Canis lupus familiaris: one gene and its partners. The protein of the gene in region 1 interacts with the protein of each later gene in a pairwise test. Links are inferred from orthologs where the notes say so. Each region holds a gene or a part of one and is shown in the gene's direction. Other genes may lie near its edges. The genes, in order: REEP6, NDRG4, SPG21, SNX15, LITAF and PTPN9.

The links.
Region 2: the proteins of REEP6 (region 1) and NDRG4 interact in binary tests that used the Homo sapiens proteins (3 or more experiments, as listed by UniProt). The two-hybrid records come from large-scale screens. The link is inferred for Canis lupus familiaris from reciprocal best matches to the Homo sapiens genes REEP6 and NDRG4.
Region 3: the proteins of REEP6 (region 1) and SPG21 interact in binary tests that used the Homo sapiens proteins (3 or more experiments, as listed by UniProt). The two-hybrid records come from large-scale screens. The link is inferred for Canis lupus familiaris from reciprocal best matches to the Homo sapiens genes REEP6 and SPG21.
Region 4: the proteins of REEP6 (region 1) and SNX15 interact in binary tests that used the Homo sapiens proteins (3 or more experiments, as listed by UniProt). The two-hybrid records come from large-scale screens. The link is inferred for Canis lupus familiaris from reciprocal best matches to the Homo sapiens genes REEP6 and SNX15.
Region 5: the proteins of REEP6 (region 1) and LITAF interact in binary tests that used the Homo sapiens proteins (3 or more experiments, as listed by UniProt). The two-hybrid records come from large-scale screens. The link is inferred for Canis lupus familiaris from reciprocal best matches to the Homo sapiens genes REEP6 and LITAF.
Region 6: the proteins of REEP6 (region 1) and PTPN9 interact in binary tests that used the Homo sapiens proteins (3 or more experiments, as listed by UniProt). The two-hybrid records come from large-scale screens. The link is inferred for Canis lupus familiaris from reciprocal best matches to the Homo sapiens genes REEP6 and PTPN9.

The regions. Positions count from the first base shown.
Region 1 is NC_049241.1:57,835,443-57,839,454, reverse strand, and holds the start of REEP6 (receptor expression-enhancing protein 6), read left to right. Parts: upstream 1-1,212; 5' UTR 1,213-1,283; coding exon 1,284-1,398; intron 1,399-4,012. Other genes in the region: PCSK4 (proprotein convertase subtilisin/kexin type 4), read right to left, coding at 228-422. UniProt on the Homo sapiens protein: Required for correct function and survival of retinal photoreceptors. Required for retinal development.
Region 2 is NC_049223.1:57,417,392-57,420,208, reverse strand, and holds the end of NDRG4 (protein NDRG4), read left to right. Parts: intron 1-495; coding exon 496-543; intron 544-720; coding exon 721-756; intron 757-858; coding exon 859-910; intron 911-1,032; coding exon 1,033-1,107; intron 1,108-1,196; coding exon 1,197-1,465; 3' UTR 1,466-2,317; downstream 2,318-2,817. UniProt on the Homo sapiens protein: Contributes to the maintenance of intracerebral BDNF levels within the normal range, which is necessary for the preservation of spatial learning and the resistance to neuronal cell death caused by ischemic stress.
Region 3 is NC_049251.1:29,779,575-29,781,777, reverse strand, and holds the end of SPG21 (maspardin), read left to right. Parts: intron 1-980; coding exon 981-1,097; 3' UTR 1,098-1,703; downstream 1,704-2,203. UniProt on the Homo sapiens protein: May play a role as a negative regulatory factor in CD4-dependent T-cell activation.
Region 4 is NC_049239.1:52,668,194-52,672,375, reverse strand, and holds the start of SNX15 (sorting nexin-15), read left to right. Parts: upstream 1-1,382; 5' UTR 1,383-1,538; coding exon 1,539-1,637; intron 1,638-4,182. UniProt on the Homo sapiens protein: May be involved in several stages of intracellular trafficking. Overexpression of SNX15 disrupts the normal trafficking of proteins from the plasma membrane to recycling endosomes or the TGN.
Region 5 is NC_049227.1:31,518,755-31,522,694, forward strand, and holds the start of LITAF (lipopolysaccharide-induced tumor necrosis factor-alpha factor), read left to right. Parts: upstream 1-1,140; 5' UTR 1,141-1,243; intron 1,244-3,940.
Region 6 is NC_049251.1:38,781,678-38,785,177, reverse strand, and holds part of PTPN9 (tyrosine-protein phosphatase non-receptor type 9), read left to right. Parts: intron 1-166; coding exon 167-256; intron 257-955; coding exon 956-1,080; intron 1,081-3,500. UniProt on the Homo sapiens protein: Protein-tyrosine phosphatase that could participate in the transfer of hydrophobic ligands or in functions of the Golgi apparatus.

The DNA.
Region 1 (4,012 bases):
CTGGCTCCGACATGGAGTGCCCCAGGACAGGCCAACACCTCTGGCTTGCTTCCCCCCCAACCAGGTGCCCAGGTGGGGGCTTCGGTCGCCCCCCAGAGGCCCCAGAATCTGAAGCTGGTCGAGGCAGGGGTGGGCTGGGGCTTCTGGACATCTTGAGTACCCCTCCCGTCTGCCGGGGTCTGGGGTCGTCCAGGCCCCGCCCCTCCTGTCCATCGGGTCCCACCCACCTGCCCCAGGTAGACGAAGCCGAATTTGCGCGCCAGGCGCTCGGCCTCCCGGTAACCCTGGGACACCCTCACGGCCCAGCTGCTGACATAGATGGGGGCCCGGGCCGAGGACCACCCCACAGGCAGGGGGCCAACGAGGGCCAGGCCCAGGGCCAGGGCTAGGCGCAGCCAGAGCGCAGTCCGGGCGGGCCGCATGGCGGCGGCGGCGGGGGCGGGGCCGGGCCGGGGCCTCCGAAAGCCCCTCCCCCTGGGCAAACCGCCGAGTCGGCCCAGGCGCCCGCCCCGCCCCCGGGGCCATAGCAACCCCAGGAAGGCTTCAACTCCCAGGGGGCCTTGCGGCTCCCCCTTGAGGGGCGCGAAGATCCGGCCCGAGTCGGGGGGCGCCCACGGCCGCCCGGGGCCTCCGCAGACCCGAGCCGTCTGCAGCCTCAGTGTCCCCGACCTGGACGGTGACCCGCTCTCCCGACCCAGAGGAGCCGGGTCGCCGCGGCTCTCCTCGGCCCCGCCCCCGAGAGTCAGCCCTGCCTCCTGCCCGGCGCCGGCGGACTAGCGCGTCCCAGTAAGTCCCGCCTCCCGGACTCGGGGCGCCCCAACCCCCTGCCCCGAGAGGCTGCCTCCTCCTTTATGATCAGCCCCGCCCCTCCCCTGCCCTCGCCAATCAGCTCCGGCCTCTCTCGGGTCCTCCCGCCAGAGGCTCCGCCCCCACGGCGGCTCAGCCAATAATCCCCGGCCGTGGCCCCGCCCCTTGCTCCGCCCACGTCCCGGCCCGTCCGCCAATCGGCGCGCTCAGCCGCGGCGCCCCGCCCACTGCCCCCGGAGTCGCGGCTGCGGCGGCCGCGGCCCGCCAGAGGGCAATGCGGCGGGGGAGGCGGGGCAGGCCCCACCTCCTTTGTCCGCCCTGCCCTCCCATTGGCCGGGGCGGGGGGCAGGGGGCGGAGACCAGCCTGGGGGCGGAGCGGGGCTGCTCGCGCCGCGGGACGGAGGCACGCGCGCGGCGGGGCCGGTGCGCGGGGCCGCGGTCGAGCTCGGGCTGCCAGCCCCGGGCCCGCCGGTGCCATGGACGGCCTGCGCCAGCGCTTCGAGCACCTTCTGGAACAGAGGAACTTGGTCACCGAAGCGCTGGGGGCTCTCGAAGCCAAGACAGGTGTCGACAAGCGGTACTTGGCCGCGGGTGAGCCGTCCGGGGCGCTCGGGACTGCTGCCCCATTTCGCCGACCGGCACACTGAGGCCCTGGGGCGCCGGGGCCCCGGTCCCGACCCCTCGCGGCCGGCGCCTTCTGCGGGGCTCGGGCTCGGACGGCGGGGCGCACCTCACCGTCCAGCAGGGAGACAGACGGAGATGCTGGGGAGGGGTCGTGCGCCAGGACCTCGCGTCTGCCAGCAGCCTGTCCTCTGCCCTCGTCGTGCGATCTCGGGCGAGTGTCACCCCCTCTCTCGGCCCCTGCATTACCTCCACTCCCACCCTCGGGTCTGGCCGCAGGCCGCCGCTGCCCCTTCCCTGCTGGCCCTGGGTGACCGCCAGGCCGAAGTCCGGTTCTTCCAGTTGCTGTGTCCGCCCTGGGGGAGGAGAGGGTGGCGGGTAGGCGGCCAGTGCCCTGGAGTCTTGCCACCCCGTCCCACAAGGATCCCAGCCTGGAAGCAAGTGGAGCATCCTGCTGGGGCGGGAGGGTCTCCCCCACGTCTCTTCCCTCCCGTTTCCTGCGAGCCCACCCCCCCCCACGGCTTTGGCCCACTGTGCGTGAATACTTGGGTTGGGTTGTCTGAGGCTGTGACGGGGCTGGAGGGGTAGTGGATGCGGGAGTGTAGAGAGGAGCCCCAACAGCCGGGGAGCGGGACTCCTGACTATAACCATTCCAGGACCCCTCCTCTTCCTTTCCTCCTCGGTGACCTTGGGGGGCCCCTGCCAGTGTCCCAGACTGTCTGGGAAGCACTCCTCAAATGCCTCCTTCCCCTCTTTTCCCGTGTACCAGGCCCGTCAGTTCTGCAGCCACCCCCACACACACACCCGGGGTGCATCACAGGGACACTTTGTCCAGACGTGGCAGGGGGGCTTTGGGTGAGGACAGGGTGTGTGTCCTGAACACCTCTGTGTGCAGATCCTGGGAGTCCTCTTTCCTCCCATTTCCCCCAGAGGGGATCCCGTGCCCAGCGGCCCAGGGAAGGCCGGTGCTTTGCTTCCCGGGGCCTGCGGTGTCAGGGCAGGTCAGCTCAGCCAGGAACCTGCCCTGGCTTCTCTGCGCGTTTCCACATCCCTGGTACCTGGAGGCAGGGACTCTAGGTCATAGGGCAGTGGGGGGAGGGGCCTCCTGGGGAAGCTGAGAGTCACAGGGAAGAAACTGAGGCCCTCCTCTAGCGTCAGGAGCTTCGTGGGAGGCTGCCTCTGCCACCTGCCCTGTCTGGAGCATCCACCCCTCCCTCCTCACCTCTCCATCTGCCCCCCCAGCTCCATCTGTTGCTGATCTCAGAGAGCGTGCTCCCCCCATGTCCAAGGTCATCCACCCATTGCTGAGGCTGCAGGAATAAGGATTGAGGGGGGAAGTGCCCTAGGAAAGCTGCTCCTCCCAACCAGAACTTTCCCCCCCATCCAGATGTGGGACCTCTTGGGCCCCAGCTGCCCCAAATGATCAGATTCCCAGCCCGGACAGCAATAGATGAAACCCAGCAGAGACGGTGACCAGACCTCCTAGGGCCCACTGGGGAGGCTCCCCTCCCTCCCCTGACCCCAGGCCCTAGGGATAAAGACCAACGCAGGTGGGGGGAAGGGTGGGGGTGACTCTGCCCTTTGGCACACCAGTGCCCTCTGTCTCTGCAGATAACAGCCTGGGGGAGGAGGCTGGAGGCTGTAAAGTACTCCCAGGAGCCCAGAGGCTCTCTGAGTGACCTTGGGTCTCACTCCCCCAGTTTCCAGTGTGTTCTGGCCATTGAGTGGGCTACAGCGAGGAAGTGCAGGGACCTGCACACCAGAAGCACTTAATAAATGCAGTATTTACCATCATTGCTTTCAGAGTGGCTCGTGCTCCTGGTTCCCTGCCTCCCCCAGGGGTGTTTTCTCTGAGCCCTCATTTACCACTGGGAAAGCATGTGTGTGCCTAGAGGGTGCTCGGGAAACGCGTAGAGCTGAGTGGTATTTAGCTATCGCCACAGCAACCTTGGGAGACAGGGCTATTACCACTCCATTGACAGATGGGGAAACTGAGGCTGCTCCGTGTTGTGCGGCAGGTGGGAAAGCAGCGGGCTCTGTGCTAAGCTGTCTTGTGCTAAGACAAGGGTCCTTACACGGGGCCATGCTGTCCCTCTCGGGACACCGGGCAGTGACTGGGGACGTTGGTGGCTGTCACGACTGGGGGTGCTCCTGGCATCGGGGGCTGGGGGCCAGGGATGCTGCCTGGCACCCCAGGGCCCAGGACGTCCCCACCGAAGATGATCCTGCCCCGATTGTCCGCAGTGGTGAGGATGAAAAACTCCATTGAGATCAAAGTCACAAATGTTGCCTTTCCCTGCTACTGGGAATCCAGCCCGGATGACAGAATGGCCTTACTTTTGGGTTTTTCTCCCGTGACTTTCATTCGGACGCCGGTCTCTGGTGCCCAGCCCCTCCCATGGGACCTGAGCAGGGCGCTTATACTGGCGGATGGTCACTTACTCGTTCAACAAACAGCTACTCTGTACCTCTCAGGGCCTGGGATCCCTGGGTGGCGCAGCGGTTTGGCGCCTGCCTTTGACCCAGGGCGCGATCCTGGAGACCCGGGATCGAATCCCACATCGGGCTCCCGGTGCATGGAGCC
Region 2 (2,817 bases), on another chromosome or scaffold:
CCAATGTGTACAGAAACTAGTATGCCTTCCCTATGTCTGAGGGCTTGGGAATGGGGTGTGGGCTGTGCTGTCCAGGCGCAGGCCTCAGCCTCCTGCCGATGCTTGGCCCTCCCCCACCTCACCGCCTGACCCCTGTGGTCCCTGGGTCTTCCTCAGCCACTCCCACCAAGGGGGCCCCTGGCTCCCCATGAGGAGCTGGCCCAGCCCCTGCCCCTGCCCCAGGCCTACCCTGCCAGCAGCCATGGGTGGGAGTCCAGGGGTCTCAGGGCCCTTAAGGGCTGCTCCCTTACCTGCAGAGGCTTGGACTTTGGGAAGGCAGCCTGGTGAGGGGCAGCCTCAGCCAGGGCTGCGTTGCCACCTGTGTCTGCCCCCTGCACGCTGAACCTCCCCAGTACAGTCTCCGGGCCTGGCAACAGACCCTGCCTTAGTGACTGGGGTGGGGGGCTCCCTGGATATGGGGCTGGGGCTGCCTTACTGTGTTGACCTTATCCCTAGGTGGAGTGCAACTCCAAACTGGACCCAACCACCACTACCTTCCTGAAGGTGAGACCTTCCTCCCCTTCCTCCACTTCCTCCCCAGACAAGGGCCCAGCCTCAGGGAGGGGCCTGCCTGGGGTCCTAGGGCAGGCAGGAGGGAGCAGGACAGTGTGTCTGCTCAGGGTGGCCTGGGCAAGGTGTGGGGGGACCCCTGCCCAGCTCACCCCCCTCTTTTCCCTGCAGATGGCAGATTCCGGGGGGCTCCCCCAGGTCACACAGGTGAGCCCTCTCTCCCTCATCTTAGCCCAGGTGGGAGGAGCCTCCCCTCCCCCCAATCCCAGGCAGCCAATCAAAGCATGTGACTGTCCCTCTGTCCTGCAGCCAGGGAAGCTGACTGAGGCCTTCAAATACTTCCTGCAAGGCATGGGCTACAGTAAGTTAACTTCCCCCTGCCCCTGCCCTGGGGACTGGTGGGCAGGGGGCAGAGTGGGACTGGCACCAGCAGCAGCAGGTGACACCAAGCAGCCTGGGGGCATATGAGATCTGTGTCAGCAGGGCCCAGATGCTGTGCCACTCACCACATGCTCCCCACTATGACTGGAGACTCTCTAGGGCACCTCCACCTGAGTTGTGAGTAGATGATCCCAGGCTGTGTCTGGCTCTCCCATGCCCTTGGGGAGGCTGTGGGACACGTTCTCATGGCAATGTTGAAATGGTAGGCTCTTTTTCCAGGCCTGGGGGACCAGAGCCTGGGGTGGGGGCCTGCCCAGAAAGGCTACCTAAAGGTGAGTCATACACACCACCCATTCCCCTGCCAGACCTACAGCACTTGAGAAGGGCTTTTGTCACAAGTGGTGGATGGTCCCAGGGGCAGCAGAGTGGTCTTGAAGTCTGGGGCCTGACAAAGGCGCGTGGGGCCATCTGGGTGTTTGGAGAGAGCCGAAGGCAGCTGAGCCTGGGGGTAGCATATGTGAAGACCCCAAAATGATAGGGGCTGTGGGGTGGCAATGCCCACTCTCCTCCCCTCTCCAAACCACCTCTTGTGCAGGGATGAGCCACCCAGATTGCTCAAGAGCACCTCCAAAACCCACGCACACATACACACATGCACGCAAGCACACTCACACCTTATCAACTTGATTCCTCCCCTTTCCCGAACATACCTGGCCCTCCCGCTGGAAGCAGAACTCCCCTACCTGAATATCTCTCCACCCAGACCTCAGTCCCTGGAGCTTGTGCCTCCTTGGAAGGCCTGCAGGGGAAGGCTGGGGGCCCAGCCAGGAGAGGCGCTCCCTCTCTGTGAAAAAGTGGGGCAGAGAGAGGCCGAAGCTAGCGGTGGGACACAGTGGGAACTCAGAGGTTGGGCCTGAGCCCAGGGGGCTCTCAGTGAACACCTGTGAGATGAGGAGATGAGCAATGCTTGTTGGGCTGGGACATATGCTCAAGGCCCTGGGAGAAATACCACCAGGCAGCCCAAGAGGTGGGCAGGATTTAGGAGCTGGTGCAGGCCTCCCCCATTTTGTACCTGGGGAGACAGATCCAGAAGGGTGCAGGTGCTGGCACTCAGATATGGGCCCCAGAAAGCCCTGTCAACACAAGGCCCTCAGCGCTGCAGCCCAGGCTGGAGAAGAGGGGGCAAGAGGATTGCCCCCACTGTGGTGTCAGGGTTCCCTCCGGGGCTGCTACTCTGGTGGGTGGCAGGGGTGGGCTTCCTGAGGCTCTGGGCCTGCCCTAGCCCACTCTGTGCCTGCTGTCTTGTCGTCTTCTCTCTCCGACCCATTGCAACACCCCGGCCTTGCCGGATCACACTCTTCACCCATGTTCTGTGTCTCCCCCCGCCCCACCCTGCCCCGCCCCGCCCCTCTGGCTCTGTCTTCTCTCTTAGTTGCATACTTGAAGGACCGAAGGCTGAGTGGAGGAGCAGGTAGCCCTGTGGCCCCTCCCCTGATGCATGGACCCCCGCCCCAGTCCCCCCTGCTCCTGCCTCTGTGTGGTGCTGCAGCCGGGCCTCATCTTGCTGTGGTTGGGAACTCTCTTATGTCCTGCTCGCCTCCAAAGCCCAAGAGCGTCCTGCTTTTTCACTGATCCTGGGCCAAGTGGGCTGCATCCCACATGAGGCTTGGGTGGGGTTTAGAGCAGTCTGGTTTCTGGGTTGCCATGGGCCACGTGGCTTCCACAGCTCAGGCTGTTGGAACCAGAGCCTCTCAGAGGTACTGCCCGGGCCTGGCCACAGGGGCAAGGGTGCCCAGCCATGCCTGAGCCGAATGGGTGGCCAGTTGAGTCCAGGAAGGTGGAGCTTGCCCACCTGAGCTTGCTCTCAGGAGTCTTGTCAAAGTCCAA
Region 3 (2,203 bases), on another chromosome or scaffold:
CTCAGGGAGTTGTGAGTTCAAGTCCCACATGGGGTGTAGAGATTACTTAAATATAACTTAACATATACACACGCACGCATGCACACAAACTAGCAAAAGCTGCCACTTCATCTTCTACCCAAATGGATATTAAAATAGCAGTGAGAGGGCAGCCCTAGTGGCTCAGTGGTTTAGTGCCGCCTTTGGTCCAGGGCGTGATCCCGGAGACCCAGGATCAAGTCCCACGTTAGGGTCCCTGCATGGAGCCTACTCCTCCCTCTGCCTATGTCTCTGCCTTTGTCTCTCTCTGTGTCTCTCATGAATAAATAAATAAAATCTTTAAGAAAAAATAAAATAGCAGTGAGAAATTATTGCTTTGGCAGTTCGGTAGGAAGTATCAAGAGCTTCAAAAACCAGTCACATCCTTAGGTCCTGCCATCTATTTGTGGCATGGATCCTAAGGAGAAGACCCTAAATTCAAAAAAACCTGATGCCAGGAGACATTGATCATGATCTCACACAGAACAGCAGAGGATCGGGGGAGGACCTGAGTCACAGCAGCAAAGCAGGAGGGTAAACACCCACTCACAGAGTGGTGTGCCACCCTCTGAGATGTTGATGAAGAGTTTATAGGAACTTGGAGAGACCTGTTATATATTAAATAGGGAACAAAGATCCCACATTGTGGTTTTTCAAAATACTTGACTTTTCTATGTTTTCCAGTTTTTCTCTAATTACATTATAATTTTAGAACTATAAACATTTATATGCTAGAGCACCTGGGTGGCTCCGTCGGTTGGGTGTCTGCCTTTGGCTCCGGTTGTGATCTCGGGATCCTGGGATCAAGCCCCATGTTGGGGCTCCCTGCTCAGGGGGTGTCTGCTTCCCCCTCTCCCTCTCATCTCTGCGCTCTCTCACTCTCTCAAATAAATAAATAAAACCTTTTTAAAACATTTATGTGTTACTGTGACATTTAAAATAATGATTCTGTGTTTCTACAGATCCATTTGCTACAATTCCATGGAACAAAATACGCGGCCATCGACCCGTCGATGGTCAGTGCTGAGGAACTAGAGGTGCAGAAAGGCAGCCTGAGCATCAGTCAGGAGGAGCAGTAGCTCTGTTGTCGCCTGTTGATGATGAGTGATCCAGAGAGTTCTTGTACAATCAGCTGCGTCAGCACCCGCCAGGCAGGCTCTGTTCAGTTGTCAGGCTCGCCAGTCATCACTGTGTTTGGAAGCAGGACTGATTGTCATCTTTGTGACAGGCGGCAGCTCTTCTAAGCCAGTGTGACTGTTCCCTCTGCATTTTTTTTTTTTTTTTTTAGCTTTTGAATTTGAGGAAGTACTTTTGAAGACTCTCACTTTAAGAATTGTGAAAATTTTGCTACCAAAAGTCTTCTCACCACTGTGTTCTTAAGAGAATGTTGATTTTTGAGGTTTGGGATTTTGTGGAGTTTTTTTCTTTTCTTTCCTCCTTTCTTTCTTTTTATGATATTTGCTGTAAATGCTGCACATCCAGATTGTGTATCAGAAGGACATCGGTTATTTTTATGCTTTCTTGGTTATAACCGTTATCAAGTGCCAAGGCTGTCTGTCACCCCACCGTTTGCTCTCCTACAAAATCAGCTACTTCTAATTTCCAGTTAAGCAGATCATTTTCAGTTTTATCTGTTGTCTTTCTAGCCATTACAGTCATTTGGAATAAAAATTCAATTTCAGTGAGTGGTTTTGGTGATTATTGTAGCTGCCCAACTGGACTGCATAGACATAGGACTTTCTGCAAAGCAGACCATGGGGTCATTGGCTAGTTCTTGGTGACATCAGGTAAGTGACTTACTCTCACCAAAGTGCAGTTTGCTCATTGTAAATTAACAGTAGCTCTCATTTATTGAGCTGTTAGTATGTGCCAAGTACTTTTCATACCTTCTTGTCTTCCCCTAGTGGGAATGTCTCTTAAATCTCTTTTAAACTGTAAATTATTGTTTTTGTCTTGCCATGAATTTGTTGAAGAAACAGGCTCATCTGCCCTGTAGAATTCCCCCACGGTCTCGATTTGGCTGATTGCAGCCTCACAGTGTCCTTTAACTTGTTTCTATGTCCCTGGTATTTCCCATGAACTGGTGGTTACATCTAGAGGGTCAGTTTCACATTCAGTCTTTTGGGCAGGAATACTTCATAGGCGAAGCTGTGTGTTTCCCATTATGTCACTGCAGGAGGCCCAG
Region 4 (4,182 bases), on another chromosome or scaffold:
AAAAATAATGTCTATAAGTGGCCTCTACGGGCAGCGGTTTAGCGCCGCCTTCGGCCCAGGGTGTGATCCTGGAGACCCGGGATCAAGTTCCGCATCAGGCTCCCTGCGTGGAGCCTGCTTCTCCCTCTGCCTGTGTCTCTGCCTCTCTCTCTCTGTCTCTCATGAATAAATAAATAAAATCTTTTTTTAAAAATTAAAAAAATAAAAATAAAAGGGATCTCTAGAGGTGTGTGTTGTTCAAGGGGACACCACCCCATCTAAGTCTCCTCCCAAACACCTCCTGGATAATCTACCCTATGTCTGAGCTTCCACCCGTCTCATTTGGGAGTTTCCTTTGTCTCTTTCTGGAAACTGGCAGTACGGTGCCCACCATAAGAGCGGCCGTGAGCACTTGAGCGCTTCACCCACGCTATCACTTTTAAACTTCACAACCTGGCTGTGGTGGTATCCATCAGAGTCCTCAACAGCTTGTCCCAGAAATGATCACAACTGCCTTCCGCAGAAAGGATGGTCTTGGGAAGATACTAAGATACTAACGCTGATTTGGGACAGCATCCTGATGGAGCTCTCAGGATGCCAGACATCAGGTTTGACAAACAGGGTGCCCAGAGGCTGGGCAGCTGAGCCCACAGCCAGCATTGCACATCATGAACAAATCAGTCCCCTTGCTAGGCACTGTGCACTCTGTTTCTCCCTCAAGAAACTCAAGAATTAGGCTTCTGGGGAGAGTCCTCCTCCCCTACCCAGGACTTGGGGCAAGGAAAGGAGCTGGCACCTTTGGATTCCAGGAGTAGGAGGCTGATGGGCTATACCTATTAGAGAACTACCTCCAAACAAAGATATGGTGCTAACAGAGAGGTGGGGGTGAATGCTGGACAGACCAGGAGGGGAAAGAAAGAAACATCCACTGCAGTAGATTCTATTAGAAACATTATAAACGTTCTAGAGAGGAGAAACTTAAGCTCAGGTAGTTAAGGGAAACTCATACAACTGGTAAGAAGTGTGACTTCAGAACCTGTGAGGCCATCCTCTTCTCTGGAGCTCTTTTTTGCTTCCCCTACCCTTGCAGAAAACATGAATTAGCGAATCCTACGGAAGGAAACAGGGAAATGATTTGGCTACATCTGCCACACACTCGGCACAATAAAAGTTGGGTGAGTGGATGAACGAAGGGGACCAGAAAGCATAGGAGAAGTCGTTTGGACACGTTTGATGGGGAAAGCTCGAGCACCTGTCAGCTAAGTGATCCCACCTCCCCGGTTCTTTTTTTTTTTTTTTTTTTTTTCCCCCACCTCCCGGGTTCTTATCTCTTAAACTACCTAGTTCACGCCTTACCCGCCACCGAGAACTTTTTAGACGCTCCCTGGCCGCACGCCAAGGCCAAGGACTGCGCCGTCACTTGCGACCCGCTCCCTAGGCTCGAGGAAGAAGGGCGCAGGCCTGGGAGATGCGGGGCCCGGCGGAGACTGACCTGGAGGGGCGGGGGCGGCGTTGAGGAGGCAGAGGCCGGCGGTCAGCCCCACTCCAGCTCGGTTGCCATGTCCCGCCAGGCGAAGGACGACTTCCTGCGACACTACACAGTCTCGGACCCCCGGACCCACCCCAAGGGCTACACCGAGTATAAAGTGACCGCGCAGGTGAGGTGGGCCCGGGTGGGGACCTTTACCCTTTTAACAAGAGGTGGGGCAGTGTTTTACCTTAAGGCAAGGCGCCGCTGGTCGCTCCCTTTTTAGACGACAGAAATGGATTTCCCCTTTAAGGGGAGCCTGCGGGTAGAGCCCCGGCTTACTTCGGAGCGGTCCAGTGGAGCGGCCCTGGGAGGGCGCTGTCCTTTTAAAAGGGCTTGGACCGTAGTTCTTGGAGTGGGAGGGGCGGGTTCCCACGCCCTACGTGTGGCGTCAGCACTGCGGGCTGTGAATTTCTTCAAATTAGCACGGAAACTCTGGCTCCGTGCAAATGTTAGTTCTCCAGTTTCTTGGATTAGGTTTGTGTGAACCGCTTGGTTTGATATTAACATAAAAGCCCTTTTTTTTCTTTAGTTTAATTTTTAATTTTCTTTCAAAAAAACTCTATGACTTTAAAAATCCTTACAGCTTAGGGATCCCTGGGTGGCGCAGCGGTTTGGCGCCTGCCTTTGGCCCAGGGCGCGATCCTGGAGACCCGGGATCGAATCCCACATCGGGCTCCCGGTGCATGGAGCCTGCTTCTCCCTCTGCCTGTGTCTCTACCTCTCTCTCTCTCTGTGATTATCATAAATAAATAAAAATTAAAAATAAAAATCCTTACAGCTCAAAGAGAATTTTAAAGAGTAAGTCAGAAAAAAAAAAAAGAGTAAGTCGGTCTGCAGCTTCGCAGTCAGAGCTGGAAGACAGAAAGTGAAGTTGATTATGGAGCAGTAACAACGTTATAGGCACATTTTACAGATACATAGGGGGAACCACGAGAAGGATTTAAAAAACAGTGTAAAAGAGTATCTGCAGAATGATATATAGGAGAGCTGGTTGGGGGAGACTTTTCACTGTAAATTGTTTATTACTTTTAGAATTTTAAACTAGAGGCACCTGGGTGGCACAGTGGTTGAGCATCTGCCTTTGGCCCAGGTTGTGATGCCAGTGATGCCAGGGTCCTGGGATAGGCCCCACATCGGATCCCCCATCGGGTTCCCCCGCAGGGAGCCTGCTTCTCCGTCTGCCTATGTCTCTGCCTCTCTGTGTGGCTCTCATGAATAAATAAATAAAATCTTAAAAAAAAAAAAAGAATTTTTAATTAGGCGACTATTAAATGGTACATTAATAACTATTAAGGGGAAGTTGCAAAGTGATTTAGGTGCAGAATCCTAGATGTTTAAAAGGAACTTTCCCTATTTCTTTTATGTCTTTTCCTTGTCAAATAAAAACAAGACACACATGCAGAAAGATAGTCCCTAAGAAGACTAGACTGGAGGGTGGCCAGGGACTGTACTCTTTTCTGATAAATCTTTCTGTTGGTTTTTTTTTTTTTTAATTTATTTATGATAGTCACAGAGAGAGAGAGAGTGAGAGAGAGAGAGGCAGAGACACAGGCAGAGGGAGAAGCAGGCTCCATGCACCGGGAGCCCGATGTGGGACTCAATCCCGGGTCTCCAGATTCGCGCCCTGGGCCAAAGGCAGGCGCCAAACCGCTGCGCCATCCAGGGATCCCTTTCTGTTAGTTTTTAAACATTCATTACTTTGATATGTTTTTATTATAACTTTTAAAGAGAAGTAATTTTCCCTCTTTTACCATCCCCATTCATCTGCCATCTTGGTGAGAATTAATGCCACTATGTCCTTCTTTATCCTTGCATATAAACCTTATATTTAAAAGCAGTTATGTGTACCTAGTTTATTATTTACACACAGTCTCACCGGTCACTTGCTGGTATTCCTCAGTTTTTTGTTGTTTCGCCTTGTAAATTTTCTAAACCAAAACAGGGACGCCTGGGTGGCTCAGAGGTTGAGCGCCTACCCTCACGCCCAGAGCATGATCTTGGAGTCCCAGGATCGAGTCCCACATCTGGCTCACTGCATGGAGTCTGCTTCTCCCTCTGCCTATGCCTCTGCCTCTCTGTGTGTGTGTCTCTCATGAATAAATAAATAAAATATTTTTTAAAATTCCACAACATAATTTATGTAAGTAATGCACGTAGATCCTAAGTGTATAGCTCAATAATTTTTGTATATGGATACATCTGCACTGGCAGTGCTCAGATCAGGATATAGACATTTCCCTCCCCCAGAGAGTTTCTTTGTACGTTTCTCATCTATAGTCCTCCTCTCAGAGAGGTAACCGTTGTCCTGACTTCTGTTCCCCTAGATTACTTTTGTCTGTTCTTGAGCCTCATACAAATGAAATCATATACACAGCAAGTACTCGCTTGTGTCGGGCCTTTTTCCTTCTCTATATAATGTTTTTTGGAGTTTATCCATGTTGTTGCGTGTTGAAGTAGTTTGTTCTTTTTTATTGCCATGTGATGGTAGCCCCTTGTATAAATATACCACCATTTCTTTATTAATTTTCTTGTTACTAGACTTCTAGGTTATGTCTAAAAAAATGTTTTCTGTTTTGTTTTTTTTAATGTTTAGTTGTTACGAGTTGTATGAACATTCATGTGCAATTCTTTTTATGGACATGTGCACCCATATTTTCTTAGTATGTACCTAG
Region 5 (3,940 bases), on another chromosome or scaffold:
GTCTCACTGTAAAGGCAGCTGGATTCTATCACTGGAGGATGGTCCAGTAGGATCCAGGTCTATGAATCCCTCTCGAGTGGCTCATAGGCTCTTCACCCAAGTGGCATTTCTCTAGATGGCCATATTAGGGTTCCTTGCATCTCCAGGACTTTGTACTCTGAAAGCCACACAGGCTCCTTAATGCCTGGTGAGGACTTCTCAGAGTCCCCTGCTGGATCAGGGCTGCTGTTAATACTCTAGCAGGCAGGCTCTGGTCAAATAGGCAGGCAGCACCCATTTAGGGGCAGAGGATCAGATACAGACTTCCAGAGCTTTTAGCCAGGGAGAAAGTACCTAGGGGTGGTGGACCACCCTGGGGGCCTAGGAAGTAGTAGCACAGCAGATTGGTTTTATTTAAGACCTAATCTGTGCTAAACCCTTCTCGGTGCATTCTTAGACTTTATGAGACAGGTACTGTTATGCCCATTTTATACACAGGAAACCGAGGCCCAGAGGAGTGCGTGACTTGCCCAAAGGCACACGGAGTATTTCGGGCTGTGTGGATGCGTCTGAATGTGCAGGACTGAGCACTGGGGAGAGAAAGGCCGCCCTGCGGAGGGCAGGCAACCTTGGACCTGGGACTGGAGGCTGATGGGCCCCCGCTGCCTGAGGGTAGGGAGGAGGAAGGAATGCCAGAGATGGGGGGCCTAGGGGAGCGGGGAGAGCTGGAGGCGGGAATCAGGACGCGGAGGGGAGGGGATCGACTTGTAGGAGCGGAATCCCCAAGGGGCGACCCAGGACCGGACGATGGGGGGCTCCGAGGTCAGCGGGGGCGTCCCGGGAGTGAGCCGGGTCGGGGTGTACTCTGCGGGGTGTCCCGAGGGGCGGAGGGGAGGGGCAGAACCCGGAGGGTGGGCAACCTCGGGCAGGGACCCCGCCAGGCTGCGCTGGGTGGGCGAGGAGCAGGGAGGGGCGGGAGCCGGAGCTGCCCCGCCGCCGGCCCCGGCTCGGCTCGGCTCTGCTCGGCTCGGCCCGGCCCGCCCCCTGCTCGCCCCGCCCCGCTGCGCGGCAGGCCCCGCCCCCAACCAAGGATCGCCCCGCCCGCTGCTCGGCCGGCCCCGCCCCCGGCCATGACTAGCCCCGCCCCCTGCGCGGCAGGCCCCGCCCCCAGCCTGGGATCGCCCCGCCCCCTGCTCGGCCGGCCCCGCAGCTCGGCTGCACCGCGCGCTCAGACCTCCCGGCTCGACTGGCGGCGCGGGCGGCGGTGAGTGCAGCGCGGGCGCGGGCGGGCGCGGGCGGGGGCGCGGGCGGGGGCCGGGCTCGGCGGCGTGAGCCCTGGCCCCGGGCTCGGGAGCAGCCGCCGCCGGGAGACCCGGGGCATCGCGCGGGCCCCGGGGGTCGGGGCGGGCTGGAGGGCGCAGGGGTCCGGCCGAGCTGTTCCGCGCGGGGCCCGCCGGCGCCGGCTTCCCCGACCGCGGGACGGGCTGGGTTCCCGCCCTGCGCCCCCGAGTGGGCCGGTCGCCCGCGCTGGGATCGTCCCGGAGAGTTCCCGGACGCCGGCCTCAGACCTTCGGCTTCTAAGGGCCGCCCCCGCCATCCTGAGCCGGTGCCTTTGCGGGCGCGCGGGCGCCTCGGGAGCCCCCGGGGGGAGCGGACCGAGCGCGAAGGCAGCCGTGGCGCCGGCCAGCCCGCCTCCCCGCGGGTCAGGGGGCCCCGGGTGAGTGCAGGGGTGGCCCAGGCCCGCCCGCTGCCGGGGTCGGCTGGGTGCTGGCGGCACGGGCTGGGGGCTGGGGAACCCGTGGCAGAGGTGGGCGTCACCCCTCCCCCGCCAGGCCTGGCAGGTGAGCTGCTCCCCTCTGCTCTGCAGGTCAGACCTGGGCAGTGGGGTTGGTGTTGTGTCCGCACCTCCTGGTCAAGGTCAGGAGATGGGGAAATGGGCATATTCTGGAAAGGGCGGTACATTCCAGGCATCAGGCCAGTTGGACCTTCACTGGTTTTCTGGTCACTTTTGTGCTTCTGATTCATGGGGCGGATGTCATTACTTTTTGGACTGACATTTGGTGTTCAGGGAAACCTGGGTTCTGGAAGCCACCGGCCTCCCCTTCCTAACCCGTCAGGTTAGACTCTCCCACCCGGCTTCCCAAGAGGGGTAAATCCCTCCGGTTGGCCTCGTAGCCTGGTAGCCTGGTGCTGGTTGAGGGGCTGCCTGGAACGCGGGTTAGCCCTGCAGTTCCCCTGGGGCCCTTGTAAGGAAAGACATGGCTTGTGTTGGTATATGCTTGACTACCTCGCTTACCTTCCTACCCCCACCCCCAGCCTTTTCAGGGTACTTCTTTTAAAATAGGACGAACCGGGCTGCCATTGTAAAGGGAGGCATGAGCTGGTATCTGGGACTCCACCACCGTGTTTGGTTTTATCATAGTTGGATCAGAATCCAGAGAGCAGGTGACTGGTTCTACCTGGCATGGAAACACCCTATGCCGCACTTGGCTTAACTCTAAGCCGGCCTTTGTCTGGGATCTGAATGTGCACCAGCCTCTCTAAGAAATACCTAGTATGGAGGAGGCCCATCTTCCCTCTTTCCTGTTACTTCAAGGCATCAAGAATAGGTGCTTTCATTCGTGTTTGGAAAAGTATCCCTGTCGTGTTATTGTGGATTAAGTGACTTGGGTGATTGATCTGAGACAGAGGATCAATTTCTTAGATCTCTAAAATACTAGATAATTTGGTGAGTGGACCTCCCTCTGCTCCTTCGGTCCCTTTTATGGGCTGGCTGTGGGGGAACAAAGTGCTACCCTTGCCCGTTAAAAGACACAGGAGAAATGGCTCCTGGCCCTGAGGGGTCTACACTGTGGGTCGAAAATGGAGACACATGCAGGTGAGAAATTCAGTGCTTTCTAATGCCTGGAAGGATCTTGAGGGGAGTGGGAAGGAGGGAGGTGTGAGCAAGGAGCCAGGATAGTCACAGTGGGTTTAGTAACAAAGCTGAGGCCTGTGCTTCTGTGGCAGAAGGGGCAGGTGGATATGGGGAGCAGCATTCCAGAGGCACAGAAGGGTCTCGGCAAAGCTTCAGAGGAGGCACAGACAAGATGAGGGTTGGACCATAAAAGGGGAACCACTGGAGGGAGGAGCCAGAAGGCATTTCCAACCCAACCTAAGTTAATTTTCAGAGAGATCAGCAGTACATACTCTTGCTGTTAACCACCCCTACAGAATGGAGGCATGTATGATACCACTCTAAGAAGGGGCTAGTGCCCATCTGGAACTTAAAATTCTCTCACCAAAGACGAATTTTTTTTTTTAAAGATGAAATTTTTTAAAAAAGATTTTATTTATTTATTCATGAGAGGCACAGAGAGAGAGAGAGAGAGAGAGGCAGAGAGAGAAGCAGGCTCCTCAACGCAGGGATTCTGATGTGGGACTTGATCCCAGGACCCCCAGGATAATGCCCTGGGCCGAAGGCAGGCGCTCAACCACTGAGCCACCCAGGCATCCCACACCAAAGATGAATTAACCCAGAGCTACAGTGATGGTGAAAGAAAGAAGGCTCATAAGAGGAAGTCCTAGAGCCTTGGCACCACGTACAACCTGTCTTGTATTTCTTTATGCTTTTACTGCAATGACAGTAGCCCAGTGGGAGAGGTGGTCCATCTCATCAGGTAGACAGACCTCCTTAACTCTGCCTGTCGCTAGTACAGACATGTTGATGATGTCTTCGGTGCCCACTTGGCCTGCCCTGGTCTGTTCTGAACTTGTTTTCTTAACCTTAAAATTGTTATTTGTGCTCAGAGTGGTGCTTTCCTAGGTCCCTGCAATTTCTTCTTACTATTTTAACCCCTATTGGTATTTTGGGCCGCTTTGGCAACACTTCCTTGGCTAATATAGTTGTCCCTCGGGTGCACATGACTTCAGTAGAACTGTGTGTAGTTTCACAGGCTTTAGTTAAGACACCAACAGAAGA
Region 6 (3,500 bases), on another chromosome or scaffold:
CTCTCTCTCTCTCTCTCTGTGACTATCATATAAATAAATAAATAAAGGTGGACTTAGAAAAAAAAATAAATAAAGTCCCTTATCTCTGAGATTTGATGGTTACATAGAGCTGTCTTCGATACACAGTATTTTCACTTTAATTTATCTTGCTATGTTTTATTTTTAGGAAACACGAAGGAAGGAAGGCATTGTGAAGCTGAAACCTCATGAGGAACCTCTCCGTTCTGAGATCCTTAGTGGGAAATTCACCATCTTAGTGAGTCTTTATGTACCCTTCTTGTTCTCATTATTTCCCTTTGTAGCTGTTGTCCTCTTTGGATTTTGTTCCTAGATACCTTATCCTAAATCTAGAGAGTGTCAACATTCAAGAGCAGACATAAAGCAGCTGTGCAGTTTGCACAAAATTATTCTAGTAACAAATGAAATTATTGAGAATCAGTTGTACAGTATATCGAGCAAAGTTTCTTCATTGGTCCATTGTTAGTGAGGGTCTTTAGGTGCGTATGTAGTATTTCAGAGGCCCGTCCTTATTGGAGTCAAGTTCTCTCCACCTAGAGACCACAGCCTTTTGAATAAGTATACGACGCTACTTTTAAGGCAGAGCGTGGAAACCATGGTTGTCTTCCGTGGTTTCCCCCTGCTGTGTGTTTTGCCATCCTACCTGGGAAATTAGCTAGGCAGCAAGTGTAGACCATCCTTTAATCTCTCTGCAATTGACAAGTTAAGAGAATGTAGTTTTTTTCCTGCCAAACTAATACGATCCAGGGGGTGCTAAGAATCAGGAGTGGGATGAAATAAGCTTTCTTCCCTTCCTGGAGCAACTGATGCAGGTCAGAGAAGTATTGCCAGCATCTCTTCTCTCTGTGTGAAATTTTTATCTAGGATATAAGATGCCTCTGTGATTGTTGTGATTCTCTATTTAGTTTATAAATGTTTCTCATTTGATTTGCTCTAGAATGTTCGGGACCCAACAGGAGCTTCTATTGCTCTCTTCACTGCCAGATTGCATCATCCTCACAAGTCAGTCCAACATGTGGTACTTCAGGCTCTGTTTTACTTGCTAGACAGAGCTGTGGATAGGTGAGCATGATGATTACCTTTTAGTTGGTCTGCATCCAGATAGGGAAGTATAGTCCTTGACTAACTTGATGAACTCAGCAGTGCCTTCGCCATGCTTCTAGGATGTGCCCTGGGAAATGCTATGAATAGAAAACATTCCATGTCCTTAAGGGCTTGGCATATTTCCAGGTACTATCAAGATGGTGGGTATTCTATATCTTTACCTGCTTGGCTCTATTTTAGGATCACAGAAGCTGAGAAAACCAATTAACTAATTATCCTCAGTGTATTGAGAATTACTTATTGAGAGAAAGTGAAGGGGAAATGACATGTACTGGCTTTTTGCTCATTTGCCCTGAATTTTGATTTTCAAAACACTCTGGAACCTTGGTATGTTTGTAATATAAAAATAATGCCATTTAATTCAGGATTTTGAGAATCAACATTCAGGAGAGAATGGCCCAAAAGTACAAAGTTAAGCAAAATCATCTTTATAAACAGACCAATGAGCAAAAAGAATCAGCTCAGGTCATTTCTCCTTCCTTCTACAAGATAAATGGTATTATGATCTTTTATGGGCAAAGAAACCAAAGCCTGACTGTTACAGTCATCACATATCAGTCCAGTTAGGCCTAAGATCCTAGTTTCTTTGCTCTTAGCCAGAGCTGTTTGTACCCTATTATGTTGTCCTTTTGCCATACTTCCTTTATTCCCTGGTGATTGCCATTTACAGTTTGTTATCGTACTGGATGTCATTGGCTAGTCCCATGGCTCTTTCCATGGGTTGGAAATGATATATTTAAGGCTGAAACCTAAGATAGTGAAAGATAGCTGTGCACAACTTTAGTCATACTGTGGACTTAGAGGGTGCAGAGAGCCAAACGATGTCCAAAGTGGGCCTCTCTGTCTAATTCACTTGTTAATGTTACTTCCATAGTATTTATACAGCATTATTCTGAAAAAGAGAAGTTACTAAGGGAAGGAGAGGACCAGTGGTCACAGGGGCCGTGTACTGCCCAATCAGAAGTGTGAAATTTCTCATTTCTTCTTGCCAATTATGCCTATGATTGGTCTTCAGACATAATTTCCAGATCATAGGTTCCTTTGAAATGCGTTAGCTCAGGAGAATAAATGAAAGGCTCCTTTACCAGAAAATTCACTGGCCTTCCTTCTTGGGCAGCTTACAGTCAGAGCCCTCCTATAGGCATGGCAGTGGTCAAAGCTTGCTCTTTCCAGTGTGAGTATTGATTGGATCCCACAGGAAGACCACACAGGTAAACATACTTCAAACTGTTTTCATGATGTCCACCCTTTTCTTGAAAACCCTTAGTGACTCCCCATTATTCAGAAGGTGCATATAAGATAAATAAACATGAAGCCTTTTCTCTAAGCAAAATATTCTCACTAGTGAGCAGAAATTTTTGTTTTCCTGTGTTAACTTTCACCAAGATAGAAGAGAAGGAAACCCTCTCCTCACTGGGATAAAAGAGGAAGGTTTCCTTCTCTTTTCTAAATCCCTTTCTTTAATGGTCAACTTTCTATGACTGGGTTCCTCACTCCTCCCACCTGTTATAAATAAAATTCTTTTTAGTCTGACTTTAACAGCAGTTATCTTTTTTTTAAGATCTTATTTATTGGAGAGAGAGAGCACATGAGAGCACGAGTAGGGGGGCAAAGCGGAAGGGAGAAGCAGACTCCCCATAAGCAGGTAGTGGGACTTGATCTCAAGACTTTGAGATCATGACCTGAGCTAAAGGCAGACCGACTCAGCCACCCAGGCACCCCTAACGGCTATTATTATTATTATTATTATTATTATTATTATTATTATTAAAGGATTTTATTTATTTATTCATGAGAGACAGAGAGAGAGAGAGAGGCCGAGACACAGGCAGAGGGAGAAGCAGGCTCCATGCAGGGAGCCCGATGTGGGACTTGATCCCGGGTCTCCAGGATCACGTCCTGGGTCGAAGGCAGGCGCTAAACCACTGGGGTGATCCCGATCCCCCCCTCAATCATTTTTTTTTTTTTAATTTTTATTTATTTATGATAGTCACACAGAGAGAGAGAGAGAGAGAGGCAGAGACATAGGCAGAAGGAGAAGCAGGCTCCATGCACCGGGAGCCCGACGTGGGATTCGATCCCGGGTCTCCAGGATCGCGCCCTGGGCCAAAGGCAGGCGCCAAACCACTGCGCCACCCAGGGATCCCCCCCTCAATCATTTTGAAACAAATGTCAAGGACATTTGTTTTAAACATCTTGATGTTCCCAGGTAGCATCCAACTTAGGAATCAAACTCAATAGGAAAACAATTATTCTTAGTAAGGAATTATCTATCATTGTAAACCTCATTCTGTATGCAGAAAAACAAAGATCCTACCACATTTGTATTTATTTCATGTGCATTTCTTTACAGGATGAGCGATTTTTAGGAATATAGA